Ovis aries: one gene and its partner. The protein of the gene in region 1 interacts with the protein of each later gene in a pairwise test. Links are inferred from orthologs where the notes say so. Each region holds a gene or a part of one and is shown on either strand. Other genes may lie near its edges.

Region 1 (6,407 bases):
TCGCCAAAACCGGAGTAAAGCCAGAGCAGCAGCGAAGACCCAGCACAGCCAGAAACAAACTAATTAAAAGGAAAATGTCAGTATAAACATAAATCTAGTTAATTGCTAAATTAAAAATAATTTTTAAAAAGAAAATGGAGTTCCCTGGTGGCCTAATGGTTAGGAGTCTGCACTTTCATTGCTGGGACCCAGGTTCAAGCCCTCATCAGGGAACTGAGATCCCACAAGTGGCCAAAAGAAGAGGAGAAGAAGAAAAACATCTCGGCTCAGTGAAGGCAAAGGGCTGAGAAAAGCCCTCCTGCCCATCACAGTCAAGGCGCCGGGATGCCCAGAAAAGAGACTCAAGAGCGCTGCCCTGTCCCCTCTCCTTTGGTTCCAATCTCAGCCCTGAGACATCTGGGTCTCAGTTTACCCCGCCACGAAACGGGGTGGCTGGGGCTTCTCCTGGTGACCCCCAGAGAGTAGCTTGCTTGGTCAGTAGAGTACCTGTGATGCCAGGAGTGTGTCCCGACTAAAGCACCACATCACACGGAAAGACCTAAAAGCAAAAGTAACCCCTAGCTCCCCCCTCCAGCCACCAAGGAGACCATTACGTTCTTCCCCATACCCCAAACAATTTTAGGGGTGGCCAGATGGCCACAGCCAACACCTCCTGAGGACCAGGCACAAGGCCCCAGGCCCTCACAAACCCACTCAAGGAGCCCCACAGTGAAGACACCCACAGTCATCCCATTACAACTACTGGGGTGAATAGAGGGCTTATACCTACGGGGCACAAGACACCTGCAGCCACCCAGTGTACAAGAAGTACCTGTATTCTGTAAGTCCCCAGGTCTGGAAAACACTGCCATGAGTCGGAGCAGACCCTAGTCTAAAGATGATGGGCAGGGAGATCTACTCATATTGTGGAATATTCTAGAGTGTTCCAAATTTCTGCAGGGCTCCCCAACTTATATCTGCTCCTGCATCCAGTTTCAGAATCACTTATCTAGTGGATGCCAAGGGATCCTGTGTCTTGAGGCTTCTGGACACTAACAGGGGATATGTTGGTAGGATCTCAACCAGGAGTTGTCTCTTGCCTGGGGAAACTCTGGGTAAATCACAGCTTCTCTCAAGGCCTCAGTTTCTTTGTCTAGAAGCCTGAATTCTGGCCTCAGAGAGTGGTTGGCTCGAATATAAACAAACAGAGCCATCCTCATGCTCACAGAGGGAGCAGGGCAGTCCTTCCTGTCAGTAGAGAACTTCCCAAACTTTAACAGAGCCAAGGGGCCTGTGCAACCTTGGACAAGTGCCTTCACCTCTCTGAGCCTGTTTCCCTAACTGTCAAACAGGGATATGGTAGGAATTACAGCACAAGGTTGCTGTGAGGATAAAATCAGAGGATGCACAGGCCTGGCACGGAACCACTGCTTAGTAAACATCACCTGGTGTTTGTTTTTTTTTAGGCATAGTAAAGTCTGTGTCTGTAGTGGAGGTGAAATCAGTACCAACTTGGTTTTACCAGTGTCTGTATCATTTGATACTACTTACTAGCGATGTGCTATCATTTGTGTGGACATTGGCGTTACTGAGTGTTCTAGGTATCAGAACTAGTAGTACTGTGTTTATTTTCCAGAGTTGCTGTGATAGAGTGTTTAGTGGAGGCTGCAGCGCATATGGGTTCTCCTAGTTTCTCTCTTCCAGGACTTTTCTCAACACTGAGCACACTAATGAAGACTATGATTGGGATGTTCCACAGATCTACTTGACCTTAGAACACAGTTTTGGGGGGCACGGGTCAGACAAATGCCAAGAAAAGGAATGGGGGTTGAGAGCTGTGTGGCTCTGAGCAGGTGATTCAGCGTCTCTGAGTCCTTTTAGCAGCTCTGAGAAAGCAAGTCATACGTGTGTGTGTGTGTGTGTGTGTGTGTGTGTGTGTGACAGAGAGAGAGAGACAAGAAAAGGGCTCATAAACATGAAGTGTCTCAAGCAATTGCCTGTGGCTAGTGATCACCGTGGTTACCACGTTTTACTTCCAATCTCCTTCACGACAGAGATGGGGAAACGAGGCTCAGGAGGAGAAGGCCTAGGCCAAGGTCACTCCCAAACCTGAGCTGTCTGGGCGCCATGGGTCAACCCGAGCCACCCCTGCTCCTTACCCAGGATGTCCAGCCACTCGTCGGGGGCCGGGGCGGGCTCAGGCTCAGGCTCCATGGCAGCCAGGAACTCTCTGGCAAGGGCCCCGGGCTGCTCGGCCTCCTCCAGTGGGGGCTGCCCCACATCCTCAAGTGGTGGCAGCTCACTCAGGTCCTCCTCTTCTTCCTCCTCCTCGCCCTCAGCGTCTTCCACCCCATCCAGCACCTCGAAGTCCTCAAGTGGGGGGACCCCAGCAGGCGGCGGAGCAGTGGGCTCAGGGTCTGCAGCAGAGGGCTCAGCACAGGATGCCATGCTGCTGGGGGGATGGGAACTGGCCCTGGTGGGGGGAATGGATGGGGTAAGAATCCCATCACACCCCTCACATCTCCTCTGCCTCCATTCCCCACAGTGCCCATCACTTGCTGTGTGACTCAGGAGCTCCAGGCCTTAGTTTCCTCATCTGTACAGTGGGTAGAGAAACAATCCTGGTTTGTTCCAAGGACTTAACAACCCATTCACCAAACCCTGGCATCAGGTTCAAACAGCAGTAGCTATTATTAGAGTTAATTATTATTTAATCTTTATAAACACCCTGGGAAGTAGAGAACATCCCCTTGTAGAAAAGGAAATTGAGGCCCAGAGTGGCAAAGCCATTTCCCCAAGGTCACAGAGCAAGGCAACCACAGGATGCAGGATTTGGAACCTGGGGCTTAATCTGTCCAGAGTGGGTGCTGGGATTTTTTCCTGGGGGACAACCCCTGAGATCTTGGGGAGGCTATTTTTAGAGCCCAAGAGAAAAATAAAGTGAATCTTTACCAGGGCTCCCCACCTTCAGTTGTCCCATCTCCTAAGGGGAGCCTCCCAGAAACCCCAAGGCATTCCTTCGCAATACCTTCCTGAACCTAATACCACCCCCCAACCCCAGGGACCGTGTCCCAAACCATTCCCTAGGAGCCCCTTCTCTCCTCAGGCCTTCTGACCACCTTCGAAGTAGCCTCCCCCTTACAGAAATGGTCGAGACCCCCACGGCTTCTTCCCTGGACCATCAAGAACTGACTCCCTCCCCTAGGCCCCGAGCTCTGGAGGTGGTAAAGCCGTCATTATAGCCCACAGCATCTCCTCCCTAACTCTCACCTGCCTGCCCCTTCCGGGCTCGGGTCCCATTTTCTGAGACCCTCCCAGCCCCAACCCCCACAATCCCCTGCGCTCGCATAAATAGCCCTCCCCCAACCCCAACCACCGCCCCCAGCCCGGGCCAGCTTCCCCCGCAGCTGGTCTGTCGCCCCTGAACACTTTGATCTCCCCAGACGCCCCCTTCCCAATCCCATAACACCCTAGGCTCTCCAGACGCCCCCTGCCCCGGCCTGGCCCTCCTTCAACCTCCCACCCAAGTCCTCAACGCCCCACGCCTATTTGACGCCACCAGTCTGGGGCTCCCGACCCCCCGCAACCCTCGGGCACCCCTGGCCCTGCACGACTCAGCCGGCAGCGCCCCCACCCGCTGCTCTTGACCCTCCGTGGCCCCCACTCCTGGTCGCCCCCACCATGTAGCACCCCCTCGGGCACTCCGACCCCCCCCCGCGCCCCCCAGCTCGCCTCCCCCGCGGCCCTTCACCCCGCCTAGCAGTCGCAGCCCCTGCCGCGCCGGGCCCCGGACTAGCCCAGGCCCGGGCAGTGCTTCGGGCCGACGCGGCCCCGCTGGCGCCCCGGGACACGTGCCTCCGGCTCCGGGACCCCAGCCTGGGGTCCTGCGCCCCCCTCCCCGCCCCCAGCCGCGGCCGCCGCGCCTCGGGAACCAGGCTCTGGCGCCCAGCCCCGCCCTCACCGCACCCATTGGACGCCGCCGCAGTGACTACAGCGTCCATTGGTGTGCGCGCACATCCGTCTCCGGTACAGGCACCGCCCCCTTCCTGCTTGTATCAGCGGGGCGTTCTTAAAGGGGCAGAGGCCGCCGCGCCACCCCCCCGACCGGGGGCGGGGGCGGGGGCGGGGGCGGGGGCGAGGGCGGAGGCGGGAGCCGGGGTCAGGGTGGGGGTGCTGTAGATCCTAGTCAGTTCACAGGTCAGCACCCCGCAGCCTGGTCAGACTAACCGCTTGTCTGACATTCGGCTCATCTGCGAAATGGGGATAAACACCTCTATCGACGCACTCTCACCTTGAGGGATGTTGGGAGGACAGCATTAAATGGTACTTTCTTAAGGAACTCAGGTTTGCGCGTCAGGGCAGTTCTGAGACTGCTGGATAACCCACCATGAATCCCTAGTTACTTCTGTAGATCACAGGCTCCGAGGAAAGCGACGTGCCCAAGGGCACACGGAACCTTGGTACCCCACCCCCACCTCCCCACCCCCGGCGCAACGTGGTCTAGTCTAATCCCGGGAAGGTTGCCTGGTGCAAACTGGAGGAACTCAATAATGGCTAGGTTAACTGCTGAAAGAGCAGGGCCACTGGGAGGAATCCCGCCTCCCTTCTTCCCCTGCTGGAGTATGATAAGGTGCCCATGGCCCCAAGGAGAAGGTGGCAGCTTTGATTAGAAGGGGTTTTATGGCTCGTGTTTTGAAAGGGGGGGGCACTTACTCCTCCTTCACTCTGTTTTTTTTTCTTCCTTGCAGTTACCCTCTTCCAAAATGATCTTGCTAATTCTTTGGCTTCCTCTAACTCTGCTCCATTCTGGAAAGAATTTTGCCTGTTTTATCCTTACCACCTCCTTGAATGATGCTTAGGGTCTATGGGAGTTAAATAGATGGATGAGTAACTGAATTAATGAATAAATGAAACGCTGGCTTTTGGAGGTAGCTAACATTGTGGGAGGTAAATCGCTTTTGGAGATAATTTGTCAGATAGGAGCTCTGAGGTCACCTCCTATTGGAAGCTCTCCCTGACCTCCCCAAGGCAAGACTAGGTGTTTTGATGGGTGCAGTCTTGGTATACTTCATCGGGGATTTACTTCTGTCTGTGCCATCTGTTGACTTCTGCCTCTCCCAGTAGACTGGAAGACCCTCCAAATCTGGGAAGAATATGTTGTTTCTCATTGTTTTAGTCCTGAGACCTACGTAGTGATAGCTCAGTCAGTAAAGAATCTGCCTGCAAGGGAGGAGACCCAGGTTCGATTCCTGGGTCAGGAAGAACCCCTGGAGAAGGAAATGGCAACCCACTCCAGTACTCTTGCCTAGAGAATCCCATGGACAGAGGAGCCTGGCAGGCTACAGTCCATGGTGTCGCAAGAGTCAGACACCACTTAGTAACTAAACCACCGCCAAATCGAGGAAGAATATATTGTTTCTCATCGTTTTAGTCCTGAGACCTACATAGTGATAGTGCCTGGCACAAAACCACCGGAGAAGTATTCAGGGAAATCATTGTGAAAGGAAGGAAGGCTGGCCAGCCGGAAGAGGTGGTAAGATAGTAGGATTATGTGAAATTGCCTGGGAATGAATATCAAATAAACCTTGGGCCAGTCTTGGTTCTGAGGGACTTGGACTAATCTCTGCTCATCTCTGAATCTGTTTCATCTGCATAATGGAGTCATTTACCCAACCTGTCCCACCCCTGTTACAGGGGCAGAAGGAACTCTAGTAAACAACAACAATACAAAAACAATTAAAGTGAACAAATATAAAGTAATAACATCAACAATTATGGTAATATAACAGTGACTGACAGGTGTCACAGATGTAGGCAAACACTTTATGTGTACTTAATCCTCAGGAAATGGCAACCCACTCCAGCATTCTTGCCTGGAAAATCCCATGGACGGAAGAGTCTGGCAGGCTACAGTCCATGGGGTCGCAAAGAGTCGGACAAGACTGGGCGACTTCACTTTCGCTTCAATCCTCACATCAGCCTTGTGAGCCAAATACTCTGATGTTCGGAAGCCACGTCATTGGCTGTGTATAGAGCTGCAGTTGTCGTATTCTCCCGGTGAACTGAGCCTTTTATTATTATGACATGCCCCTCTTTATGCTTCTTGCCTTAGAGTGGACTTTGATATAAAAATCGCACACCTCTTCTCCACTGGTGCGTATTTTAAACGCTCCATTCTCATCCACCTTTTACCTTCCACCTTTATGTATCCTTGTGTTATTCATGTGCCTCTTGTAAGCAGCAAAGAACTGGGTTTTGCTCTTTAATTTGGTCTCCCCATCTTTGCCTTTTAACTAGGGCATTTGGTCTGTTTACATTTAATGTAATTATAGACATATTTAGACTTAAATCTGCCTTTTTATGTGTTTTTTGCCACCTAATTTTTCTCCCTCTTGTCTTCTTTAGGATTGGATGTGAATGTTTTGGTA
Region 2 (5,771 bases), on another chromosome or scaffold:
TCTTAAGGCAGCGGTCTTTGCCTGGGGTCCTTGGGGCAGGGGCGGTGGGGACAGAGGGGCACTCACTGTGAGGACACAGTGGGGTTCTCCCAGTGCAGCACGCGGTAGGCGGCTTCGCAGGTGCAGCACAGGCGGCTCAGGAGGGCCTCCAGCTGGATCAAGCTGCAGACACAACACAGGGGGCTCACGCAAGCTGTGTACCCTGCCTTACCCACCCAGGCGGCCTAACAGAGCTCCAGGGCAGCAGAGCCCAGGGCTTCGCAGGCACAGCCACCTAGGTTCAGCCAGTCCCTTCACACCCCTTGCAGGGGTCAGGGAGTTCAGGGAAACTTCATACATTTCAGGCCCCTTCTTGGAAAACTTGCTGAGGTTCCTGCTTTGGTCTCTTCCTAGCTGTTGGTATTAGGCCAGTTACTTAACTTTTTCAAGGATGCAATTTTCCACTATACCATGAGGAGCAGGGTGCCACCTCCCAGATGCACTGGAGCTGTGAAGATGGATGGCAGGATGTACAGCAATGTGTCTCCACCTAGGGCTTCAGGTAGACTGACCTGGACAGTTTTTTTAAATGGATCCCCCACCCCCATCAAAAGCAAAGAGAGCACACCTGTGCAACAAGCACCCAGACCTTGGTTTCTGAAGGGCTCCTTGGAAAAATCGCTGATTCTAGAGCAAGGCAGGGAATGCGGAAGATGAATTTGAACATTCTACTGTATCATAGGGCTTCCCTCATAGCTCAGTTGGTAAAGAATCTGCCTGCAACACAGGAAACCCAGGTTCGATCCCTGGTTCGGGAAGATCCCCTGTAGAAGGAAATGGCAACCCACTCCAGTACTCTTACCTGGAGAATCTCATGGACAGAGAAGCCTGGCAGGCTACAGTTCATAGGGTCGCAAGAGTTGGACATGACTTAGCAACTAAACCACCACCACCACCACCATATCATAAAATTAAAAAAGTGAAAGTTGCTGTCATGTCCGACTCTTTTCAACCCCATAGACTATACAGTCCATGGCATTCTCCTGGCTAGAATACTGTAATGGGTAGCCTTTCCCTTCTCCAGGCTATCTTCCTAACCCAGGGATTGAACCCAGGTCTCCCTCATTGCGGTAGATTCTTTACTAGCTGAGCCACAAGGGAAGCCCAGGAATACTGGAGTGGGCCTTCGCCAACAGATCTTCTTGACCCAGGAATCGAACCAGGGTCTCCTGCATTGCAGGTGGATTCTTTATCAATTGAGTTATCAGGAAAGCCCAAACTGAGGACAAAATAAGATCAAAATTAATAATCATAGTAATGGATTATAACCCACTGAATAAAATTTTAAAATCCTGCATTCATATAGATAATAAGAAGGAAAAGCTCTTTCTTACAGAATGTCAGGCAATGATGACACTTAGGAAATCACCTATGCAACTATCACAGTAATAAACTGACGAAAGCAAGACCCAACAGTGGATTTCAGTGTAGCGGGTGAATGTTTGATGAGGAACAAGATACTTAACGAAGTCTCAAAGCAACCCCACTCAGATTACTAACTCTAGAGGGTAAAATAAATAGTCACTTTACAGTGGAGAAACTTTCACCAAGGTAATCGAAGTTACTATCTCCCATAACAGACAGTGACATCATGTACCTCTTGATATGATACAATGACGTCAAGTTTCTGCCAAAGATGCAAAAGCTGAATCCAATCATGAAGAACCAAATTACCGAAAGAAAAGGGAAGTTCTACAAAATAATAAACTTGTCCTATTTTAAAATGTTAAGGTCATAAGAAAGACTAAGGAACTGTTCCAGGTCACAGGAGACTAAATGTCACGTAAGAGTCTGGACTGGAGCCCAGATCAGGAGAAATTTATATAAAAGACCTTATTAGTACAACTGACAAAATTTGATCATGAACAATTATTAGATAATGGCACTAATGCTAATGTTATCAATGTTAAATTCCCAAAATCTGATGACAGGACTGTGAATATAGAAGAGAATGTCCTTGTTCTTAGAAAATATATACTGAAGTGTTTGGGGTAAATAGACAGGATGTCTGTAATTTACTTTCAAATGGTTCAAGAAGAAAAAAATTATGTCCTAGTGTAGGGAGATGGATGAAGCCGCTGTGGCAAAACGGTAATAACTGTTCTGTTTGGGTGAAGGGCAGATGAGAGTTCTTTGCACCATTCCTAGAACTCTTCCATAAGTTTAAAATCATTTCTAAGGAAAAAGGTTTTTTGAAAAACTGCAGATATGCAGCACCCCTGCCCCCGCAGACACTTGACTCAGAATTTTTTCAGAGGAGCCTAGCCCTCCACTTGTTTATAATTTTTTTTTTTGAGCTCCACAGATGTCTCTGCTGCCCAGGAAGAGATGAGAACCCCTGCTGTGTGTCACGAGAGCCACTGAAGCTGCTGCAGTTGTTGCTTGCCAACAGTCTGAAGGTGCTTCCTCAGGAGCTCCAGCTCTGCCACATTTAGGAAGTTCCTCCACAGTGGAGCGACAATGACTAATACTTAACTGAACACTTGCTGGGCACCAGACGCCCAGTTAGTCTTCACAACCACCTAGGAGGTAGGCCTATACTTCTCCCATTCAACAGATGACAAACCTGAGTAACTTGCCCAGAGTCACACTGGAGGAGCTGGGATCTGAACCCCGGCAGTGGCTCATGCGAGCATGTGCTCAGCCAAGACCCTAAACTGCGGAATCAGCTAGATCTGGCCTCCCATCCCAGCCTGGTCAATTGTCTTTTTCCTCCTTCATCAGTGGAGGTCAATCATAGGAGCCATCGCCCAGAACTCTAACAAAGACCAAAGGGAATACCATCCACGTTTTGCCTTACACGATGTCTGGTGCCCAGCAAGCACCCAGTGTGGTGGCAGCTGGTACCGTCACCATCCCTTACCCCCCTGGCCCCTTCCATACTCACAAGCTCTTCACCTCAGCCACGGCCTCAGGGCGAGACAGGCGAACTCTCTGCAGGTCCTCCTGCCTCACGCTGTGGTACTTCCTCCTCACCAGCTCAGACTCGGGCAGCCGTGCCCGGCAAACCTCCTGAAGGTAGCCCAGCAGGGCGGGCACTGAGATCATCAGGGCACCCACTGAGTACCAGGCCCCTGTGGGAGCAACAACACTGCAGCTCAGCGGGCAGCGGGGCCAGGAGCCGCCACCCACCCAGATGGCGCTCCTCGCCGCCGCCAGGCCTCTGCCCAAAAGAGCCCGCCCCAGACCACCTGGTATGAAACAGCATCTCCCCACTCACCCTCCAGCCTCGTTTTCCTCACAGAACCCACCACCACGAGGCAGACTACAGGCATGGCTGCTGGCCTCTCCGTGAAGGTAGGCCCCGAGGGCTAGGACTTTCCCCTAGCCCCTGGTCACTGCCGCAGCCCCAGCCCTTTCGAAAATATTGAAACCCCTCTAATAGCACACAGCACACCGCAGGCAGCTCGCGCCCGGGGCCTGGCCATGGGGAGCTCCCGACGTCTGACATTCTGACCTTTGGGTCACAGGGGCTGACTGGAAGCCTTCCGCTGGCATTTAGGACACCACTGACCACTCTGAATCGAGAAATGGTGAGGCTAAAATAAAATCCAAGGAAGGAACTTCTTCCGTGTTAACATGGAAGCAAGCTACCCGAGCACTGGGTACAAAGTAATGAAGCATCTGTCACCTGAACTAATTTACTGTGGAAACAGATTCAGAAAAATCTAACAGCTTGAGAAGGATATCTGAGTTTCAGTGAGGCGGAACAGCATCCTACTAAGACACAGAAGATGGGGTCTTATGTGAAATGGGTTTATTTTTCAACTCACTGAAACCACAGGCAGCAAAGGAGACACTTGAGAAATGGGAATTCAATAGAACAAAGGTATGAAGATAGGACCCAGCTCCTCAGAACATTCTATCCCAGGCCCTTCACTCATTTCCCTTGACAGGCTTGGCTTTTTCTGCAGCCATCTGCCAGTTCTGACCAAAAGGGCTGGGTCACAGCATGCCTTTTCATAAAAGGTCCCCAGGAGACCTCACTACCCAGGACCCCTCCAGCTACCCACCTGTCCACACACCGACCTCAAAGGCTGCACGCTACAAACCCCTCACTGCTGCTGACTGCCTGGCAGACCCCACCAGGCTCACTTGCTGAGCCAGAGAAAGTCAACAGGCAAAAATGCCTCATCAGTTCACCTTCCTAGTACCTTCACCCCAGGTCGTGTCCTCAGAAAGCAAACTGGGAAAAGTTCAATGAATTTAGTCCAGAGGAAACAATAATAATAGCTATGATGTACTGGCTGCTTATTTTAACTGTGTTAAGTGTTACACATAGATTATCTCGTACTTCACAACTATTCTCTGAGGAAAGCACTTCTATTATCCCCCTTCAGAGAAAATGAAATTTAGCCACTCAGTCATGTCCAACTCTTTGTGACCCCATGGACTGTAGCCTGCCAGGCTCCTCTGTTCACGAAATTCATCAGGCAAGAATAATACTGGAGTGGGCTGCCATTTCCTTCTCCAGGGAATCTTCCCAACCCAGGGACTGAACCCAGGTCTCCTGCATTGCAGGCAGACTCTTTACTATTTGAGCCACAGGGAAGCCCCATTCAGAGATGAGTATGATTAGGCCTTAAGAGACAGGCTAAAGAACTTCTGATGTCACACCAGTGGCCCAGTCGGGATCCTAGCCCCAGGTGGATCTCTCAGGAGCCTGTGTCCTGACATTGAGCAGACACGGAGGGAGGCTGACCCCACAGCGGGACAGGCGGCTCCCTCATACAGGGCCGATTCTCAGAATTCCTCTCCACCTTCATTCACAAAAAGCCCTGGAAGCAGTTCTTACCCTCGTTCAAGGTGAGGAACAAGATGTTGAGGCCCAGGCAGGTCAGCAAGGAACACAATGGCGTCTCCCACCTGCAACACAAGGCTGTATATTGTCACCCTGTTTATCTAACTTATGTGCAGAGCATATCACGCAAAATGCCAGGCTGGATGAAGCACAAGCTGGAATCAAGATTGCTGGGAGAAGTATCAATAACCTCAGATACGCAGATGACGCTACCCTTATGGCAAAAAGTGGAGAAGAACTAAAGAGCCTCTTGAAGAAAGTGAAAGAAGAGAATGAAAAAGCTGGCTTTAAAACTCAACATTCAAAAAACTAAGATCAAGGCATCCGGTCCCATCACTTCATGGCAAATAGATGGGGAAACAATGAAAACAGTGACAGACTTTATTTTCTTGGGCTCCAAACAGCTAAGTTGCAGATGGTGACTGCAGTCATGAAATTAAAAGACACTTGCTCCTTGGAAGAAGAGCTATGACCAACCTAGACAGCATATTAAAAAGCAGAGACATTACTTTGCTGACAAAGGATGGTCTACTCAAACCTATGGTTTTTTCCAATAGTCACATATGGATGTGAGAGTTGGACCATAAAGAAGGCTGAGCGCTGAAGAATTGATGCTTCTGAACCATGGTGCTGGAGAAGACTCTTGAGAGTTCCTTGGACTGCAAGAAGATCAAATCAGTCCATCCTAAAGGAAATCAGTCCTGAATATTCATTGGAAGGACTGATGCTGAAGCTCCAATCCTTTGATCACCTAATGCAAAGAACTGACTCCTTAGAAAAGACCCTGATGCTGGGAAAGACTGAAGGCAGGAGGAGAAGGGGATGATAGAAAATGAGATGGTTGGATGGCATCACCAACTCTATGGACATGAGCAAGCTCTGGGAGTTGGCGATGGACAGGGAAGCCTGACATGCTGCAGTCCATGGGGTT

What was found. The genes of interacting proteins can lie anywhere in the genome.
Region 2: the proteins of FKBP8 (region 1) and ZFYVE27 interact in binary tests that used the Homo sapiens proteins (3 or more experiments, as listed by UniProt). The link is inferred for Ovis aries from reciprocal best matches to the Homo sapiens genes FKBP8 and ZFYVE27.

Annotation. Positions count from the first base shown.
Region 1 is NC_056058.1:4,446,216-4,452,622, reverse strand, and holds the start of FKBP8 (peptidyl-prolyl cis-trans isomerase FKBP8), read right to left. Parts: upstream 3,972-6,407; 5' UTR 3,946-3,971; intron 3,920-3,945; exon of another isoform or gene 3,731-3,919; intron 2,453-3,730; 5' UTR 2,428-2,452; coding exon 2,139-2,427; intron 1-2,138. UniProt on the Homo sapiens protein: Constitutively inactive PPiase, which becomes active when bound to calmodulin and calcium. Seems to act as a chaperone for BCL2, targets it to the mitochondria and modulates its phosphorylation state.
Region 2 is NC_056075.1:18,723,925-18,729,695, reverse strand, and holds part of ZFYVE27 (protrudin), read right to left. Parts: intron 4,906-5,771; coding exon 4,835-4,905; intron 3,114-4,834; coding exon 2,927-3,113; intron 163-2,926; coding exon 67-162; intron 1-66. UniProt on the Homo sapiens protein: Key regulator of RAB11-dependent vesicular trafficking during neurite extension through polarized membrane transport. Promotes axonal elongation and contributes to the establishment of neuronal cell polarity.